Linked DNA regions of Schizosaccharomyces pombe. Changing the gene in region 1 together with any one later gene gives a genetic interaction. Each region holds a gene or a part of one and is shown on either strand. Other genes may lie near its edges.

Region 1 (3,500 bases):
AAATTCTTGTAAGCCAAATGCGCATTGCTGGAAATTCTGCTATTGGTAATCCGGCTGTTAAAGACAGGATCAACAAGATCGTATGGAAAAATGGTAACCCTGATCGCTTATATTCTCTGCATGAAAATGGCATGGTGCGAGTGTTCGATGTAAAGAGTGAGGAATTGCTTGCAGAGAAATCGATTAGCAAAGTCTCTTTGACTGGTATTGCGTTTGCTGTAAATCGTCCGGAATTCGCGATTAGTGCATCTGATGGAAGAGTCTTTTTCTTGAGGCAGGACGATAAACTTTCAACTCTCGAAAGCTTACCTAGCAGAGAAGCTCAAGAGGAAATTACTGATTTATCAGATATTCTTTGGATCAACTCACCCGTCGATAAGTTGGAGCATTTGATTGTGGGCTGTAAAGAGCGAATTTCTGTTTACGACCGCAAATATTTACCATAAAGCACTAACAAAGATAAACGAATACAGGAAGATTTCCCTCTTTTTATGAAACTTCCAACTTTTCTAATCAAAATGAGTTATTTGTTAAAAAATAATGATTTACGATTTCTAACCGTAATGAACCAAAAATCTACACCGTTGCTGGAGCTATATTTGTATTAGATATACGGCAACTATTTAATCTAATCTCAACGTTACTAAAATAAGAACAACACTAACTTGGACCATCAACTTGTATAAAATTGTGTAGTGATCATATTTGAATGTATCTTCAGGGTTGAAGCACATTGTAGCAAGACATAAAAAAGTGTAATTTCATCATGAATCATATAGCAATAGGCATGTAGACTATCCTCCAAATTTGACAATGAGCGTAGACAATTTGTCAACTAAGGTTCAGAATCAGTGATTACAGCAAAGGCTTTGTCAACACTGACAAGAGGTGATATGTCAATTTCCTTCACTATGCATTTGCCAGTACCTTTCTCAAAGATCCAATGGCTTCTAAACAGCTTTCCACCACCAGGCTTCTCAGCGCCTAACTTTTTAATTAGCTCACCTTTAGGATCCGAAAGCAAATGATAAGGAAAGTTTTGCTTATCCTTGAAAGCTTTTTGAGCTTTGCTAGTATCGAAAGACAACCCTAAAACTTCATAATCAGAGGCCTGTATCTTAGGATAGTTATCACGAAAACCACAACCTTGTTTCGTGCAGCCAGGAGTACTAGCTTTTGGGTAGGCAAAAATTACAAGCCCTTTATTTGCAGTAATATCGCGAAGTCGAATGGAAGTTCCATCTTCGTCAGGCAAAGTGATATCGGGAATTACGTCTCCCACTTGAATAGTTGAATCAACTGATTCATCTTTTGCAGGCTTTTTCAGCATTACTGGAGCAGCTTCAGGAATAATCGTTCCTTTGCTATCCAAGACGTTTGCAATCTTGGCTGCCAATCTGCTAGATCTTCTGGGGGCGTCCATTGACAGGCTTAAAGTGTGCAAGAAAAATGCTAGAGGGGAAGGAGAAAGGTTGATGCAGAGCTGCAGTATATAAATTTATATTCTAAACAACACCTGTAAAACCAAAAACGTTGGTGTCAATGCTGATCAGTATTAAATCGCTTTAACTTGTAAAGGCTAGATAAAATGATCAAAGTAGTGAAACTCTGTTCAGGATGAAGTACTCTGAACTTTTTACTACTCAACTTTCAGAATTTCGGTACCAAAATAAAAACAATTTTACAATAACACCTGAGATTTTCTTTCTGGTGTAGGAAGAAAGTACAGGTAGTGAAGAATCACGACATAAATATTACCAATTTGTTAGCTTCGCTTTGATATTACTTTACAACATTACCAATGTGATCCCGTAAAATCGTATTTAGCGTATTTAGCTGACCTTTCAAACGATCGATAGGGAACCGATCTTCCCCTGCTTATACAATCGGAATAGCTTTGCATCCTACTATGACTAAAGAATGTTTTCTTTCATAAAATTTCTAGTCAAATCATTATTAACATGGTGTCGTTTTTACTAGTATGGCTTTAAAAAATGGTCTTTCGTAAACTGTAACAGCATTTTCTCTGATTGTCCGTCTCGACAGCGTTACAGAAATATAAATAAAATAACAATTAATTTATTAACAAATTTCAAATATCTTTTGTTCGTCAATTGTAGAACGGATCCATCAGCTAGGAACTGATTTGCATGCAATGTCAATGTAGCAATCGTAGTAAAGATTCTAAGGAAGTAAGCCAAGACTATAAAACATGATGTTAGCAAGCGAGGCTATCGTCTTTATTAAACTAACATTGCATTTTTTTTATAAAAAGGCTAAAAACATTGCATCGACCGGGAGTCGAACCCGGAGCTAATGCTTGGAAGGCATTGATGTTACCGCTACACCATCGATGCTTGGATGAAGAGGTAAAATAATAGACATATATTACTTTAAAATTAAACTTGTATCGAAGTATTAGCAACTGGTTCTACATTATGAAAATAACCCAAAAACAATCCAAACTGTTTGGCTAATAATGTGTCTATTTATTATACATTAAATAGTTGAAATTATGGTATACTGCCTACTATGCTTGTAATATACTATAAATGTGTAATGTATAATAAAATGGGCATGTGGTGTAGATGGTTATCACGCTTCCTTAGCATGGAAGAGGTCCCAGATTCGAGTTCTGGCTTGTCCAAGTTTTTTTTTGTTTTTTACGTTTGTTGATTCAAACTATATAGAAACGCGTTTACGCAGAGAACATGTTTTCAAATGATTGCGAGCCATCGTCTACCCTATAGCCGTATGGAATTATCAATTTTATTACAACGAAGGGTCGTAGCGGAGAAAGTATATTAATGCATTGTAAATTCATTTCATATAAAATTAATTATTATACCATGACCAAAGGTCTTCTAACATAAGTATATCCAAATTATCTGAAACATTATAACTGATAAAGAGGAATTTCGTTAACTTGCGTACATTCAAGGAAGGGCCGCAACTGTAGATGTAATGGTTTTGCTAAGAGCCTCCACTAGTTCATCTATTTGCTCGCGAGTGATAATATACGGAGGAGCCAGCAATACGTGGTCTCCTCTGGTGCCATCAATTGTACCCATGCCTGGATAAACGAAAACACCATGCTCGCAACCTATTTTGTTGGCGAGAGAACCAACTTTGTATTCAGGAGGGAAACATTCCTTGGTAGCTTTGTCTTTAACGATCTCGAGTCCCCAAAACAAACCGCGGCCTCGAATATTTCCCACGTTGGGATGAGAGTCAAAAGTCTCATGTAATTTTTCCGAAAGGTATTTACCCATTTCTGCTGCCCTTTCAACAAGATGATCTCGTCTTAAAATAGTTTGCACCGCCAGGGCAGCAGAACAAGCAATTGGGTGGGCTTGATATGTAAAAAAACCAGCCATGGCAGCATCTTTTTGCTCAAACACGTTCATAATACGATGACCAACAAGCGCTCCAGAAATGGGTTGATAACCACCTCCTAAACATTTGGCAATAGATTGAATGTCAGGTGTCACACCCTCTTG
Region 2 (3,762 bases), on another chromosome or scaffold:
TGCGTAAATTTTGTATTTGCTGCGACAGCGAGATCAGCAAAGCGTTTTGAGTTTCGATCACATAGCTGTAAAGGAGATACACCTTCGGTTTGGGCAACAGTCTGTACTTTTAGACCATGCTCATCAGTGCCAGTACTGGAAATGACGGAAACATCGGGTTTAAGATTTTGAAACCTGGCAATGGCATCCGTCAACACAAGACTGTACAAGTGACCGAGATGAGGTGCAGCATTGACATAGAAAATAGGTGTTGTAAGGAAATAAGGTTTTTTAGAAGATTCTGAAACTTGATGAATTAGCCTACAAATCCCTTTGCGCAGCATCTTGCTTCAGAAGACGTGTATGTATGTTTAGCGATCAACGTTAGTAATAATTTGTATATTTTAGGACTGCTGTCAGTAAACGTTAGTAATCGAAAACGAATATAATTCTTTAATTCATTGAGAATACAGCAGGGAAACCAGCAAGTGGAGAATACAGTGACACAGACGGTGCCTTGACGTACGTTAGTGGTGTATGTATATCGAAAACTAAGCTTGGTTTTGGATAATTGCTTTCTTCATGATTAATATGATTAATTTAATATCTTAGTAAAAATTCCTAATCAGTAGTTTAAGTCGTTTATTGGTTAAAAATAGAATGGTAGAATAAGACAAGTGATACACTAGGAGCTGATATTTAGTATACGCATAGACCCAAATTAATTCAAATGCTAGTATTTTTTGACTGTATAATAGTTTCTTCAAAAAGAGCTCTAGCAGCACTTCACAAAGGCCTAAAAACAGTAAAAAGATTGAAACTAGTGTATACAAAAATTAGGTGAGAAAATAAGATTGCATTCAGGAATTGATCGAGTCGAATTTTGTATTACCTTCAAGTATTTATCTTCCAGCAATGCGAAATCAAACTCATGTCAATGATTAAATAGAATAAAGAATCAATGCTGAATTTCTTTGAAATTGTTTTACGATATACGGTATAAAGAAGGATAAGTGTTTAAGATTCGAAATAGTGCTTTTTTAAAGAGATAATGATGTATTCCTTAAAATGATGCTGCACGGGATATTTCTTTGTTTAGCAATAAAGTAATTTGTGCCATTTACTGTTTCAATTTTTTCCAATATTTTTTTTTTTTTAAATTTGTTGTAATAATTTTTTAATTAAATTTTTTTTAAACAAGATATTCTAGCATATGCTGGCTAATTTTATTTTATTTACATATTTTTTAAATATTTAATAAAGTTTAACTATTGCTTCAATTTTTTCAAATACCTATTGAAAATGATTTTGAGCTGAATCACTGAGTGAATAAATCGATCCTTACAATAGCAGGCAATTGACAAGTTATAAGAAATTTAGTTGGAATCATTACATAGTTGCATTTTTAGAGTAACTGAATTTGAGTCATACACACATAAACTGAGTTCTTAAATGACTACGATAACCTCAGAATTACACACACGGTCATAGGGTAGGACATAGCTGGAATCTAAAAAATAAAAAAAAAAATACTGTATGTAATGCACAATATTATAGAATTTGTAGGAACTATAGAAAACAGATAATCCATAGATGCTTTGAGTAGGGATAAATCAACAAATAAAAGCATTTAAAACCAATTCGTATTTTCTTGATGCTTTGTTTACATACTTACTATGTACTGAGTATCTTATATCTACGCATCAGATAATCTACAGTAGTGCAAAGAGAATGCGTTATAAAATCTGAAGTTTCAAAGTTCATACTTGGTATATTTTGGGATGTCTACACTATAAAAGAGAATCTAAACCTCGATTAAAAAGATGGTCGTTCATAAGAAAATAAATGGGTCGGTAAAAGTTTCAATTTGTAATCATTGATTGCAAGCCCTGCTCATTTCCTAGGAAAACCATGACATAGTGATTTGCAAATATAAGTTTGCAAAATAGTATAATGAAACGCAGCGTAGTTGTAATCACAAAGACGCGGTTTTTGTGACATTTTGAACACACTACTCTAGTACGAACCATACTGACAAAGAAGTGTGCGGTTTGGTTTCACAATCCTTTATCTACTCATCTGTAATTCCTAACTCAGGCGCTTATTAAATTATTTAAAATCTGTGGAAATAATTGCGCCTTAAATGCATTAAAGCTCATTTGCACTTATAATATACTGTATAAATTAAATTGAATTCGACGTGAAATAAGCAGAAAAAAGGAGGAAAAATGACTAAACTCTGGGTAAATTTTTTCAGCCAGAAATTATTAAGGCTTTTAATCCCATCAATAATAGTGGTATTTGCTTTCGCTGCTCTATTTGCAATATACAGTCCCATTCAACTTGGAGGCATCAATTTCTATAAAAGAACCAACTTATTTACCGTTGAAGAATTGGGCGAAAAAGAATTGGAACTATCTAAGACCGTTACTATCGATATATACAGAAAAGCAATGTGCATGGATGATTTGGAGCAATCGCGCAAATGTACAACGTTCGGTTTGGATCCACCGATTTCTGCTCACTTATTTTACACATATAACCGTGATACGGGTATGAATAGAGTTGCGAGACAATGGAATCGAAGAATTCCAAGGGTATTTCATACCATTAAGGGATCTAATTTCATTGAATTGTCTCAATTCACGGCATTTGAAGTCGAACTTCGCGTAAGCCACCCAAATTGGGCTTTTGTTAGTTGGTCACATGATGATTTAAACGAATTAGTTGACAAATCATATCATAATCTTCATAATGCCTGGTCTCAGTTATCGCGTGAAGCTAAAGATCAGTGGGGATTTTTATTGGGATTGTATGAGTATGGCGGTGTTTGGATGTCTCGTTCTTTACAGCTTAAAAAAAATATTGATAAATTTGTTTATGCGGCGGAGTTATCCGTAAAACAATTTACAGAAAATATCACATCTTCGACTGTTGAGGAGTTCCAACCGATTTTTATGGCCCCAAAGTCCCTACAGTATGACTTTATGATTGCTACTCCTAAGCATCCGTTTGTTCTCTCTCTCATTAACGAACTTTGCAAGTCGGAAGTTTTATTAAAAATCCTTTCTAAAAGGCCCTATCATGGTCTTGATGCAGCTGAAGCGTTGTTTGCAGAAAACCGAGAGTCTATTACAATTCGTGAGCAAGAATTCTTTGTCAACACTTATATCGATGACGGGAAAGTTTTTGTGAAGAATAACCCTCACATCATTTTTATCCCAACAGAAGCCTTTGCTTCAACTTGGGACTTCCTTCCTAGTGAAGAATCTTCTGAAATGTGTTTCGCCGACTCTCCCCTGTTTGACCCTGACTATTGCATTAGCCACAGTTCAAAACCGGATGGGAACGAACTTGCCATATACTGGTCTAATTCATTCGACTTGATAACTGCTTGATGATATTATGATGTTTCATCTTTTTATCTTTTCACAAATTTAATTTCATTCAGCAAACAATAAACCTGACTTGATCCTTTAACTTTTTTTTTCTCTCTAAGGTATCACCTACAGTTATGTGCGTTTCTTCCTAATCATAGTTTTTATTTAATACTATTGCTAAGCATCCGTTTTATAATCAAATATTTTCTGTCGTGGAACTGTCCTGCAGCTTGTTTTTCTAATGTGCCAACTATGTCTTTACATTTAATGTTCTATGGTTCTATTGTCTTTCTTTCTTTTTTTTAGTTTTTTATTTTATCAGATCTAGGAAAAGCTTGTTTCTTAGTTTTTTAAATTCGATCCTTCATTTATTGTTCAACTGTAAAGTTTGTGATACTTTTAT

Evidence for each region. Genes that interact genetically often act in the same process or in processes that back each other up.
Region 2: mutations in bcp1 (region 1) and pvg2 together harm fitness less than expected from each alone (positive genetic interaction), as found in Schizosaccharomyces pombe (one large-scale study listed by BioGRID).

The regions. Positions count from the first base shown.
Region 1 is NC_003423.3:283,103-286,602, forward strand, and holds bcp1 (thioredoxin peroxidase), read right to left. Parts: upstream 1,715-3,500; 5' UTR 1,424-1,714; coding exon 836-1,423; 3' UTR 501-835; downstream 1-500. Other genes in the region: csc3 (WD repeat-containing protein), read left to right, coding at 1-446; SPOM_SPBC1773.03C (aminotransferase), read right to left, coding at 2,937-3,500. UniProt on the Schizosaccharomyces pombe protein: Thiol-specific peroxidase that catalyzes the reduction of hydrogen peroxide and organic hydroperoxides to water and alcohols, respectively.
Region 2 is NC_003424.3:4,017,875-4,021,636, forward strand, and holds the start of pvg2 (Golgi 4,6-pyruvylated galactose (PvGal) residue biosynthesis protein Pvg2), read left to right. Parts: upstream 1-2,000; 5' UTR 2,001-2,207; coding exon 2,208-3,377; 3' UTR 3,378-3,762. Other genes in the region: msm1 (methionine--tRNA (Met) ligase), read right to left, coding at 1-323. UniProt on the Schizosaccharomyces pombe protein: Involved in cell wall biogenesis. Has a role in the addition of Gal-beta1,3 moeities to galactomannans and their subsequent pyruvylation. Has a role in meiosis.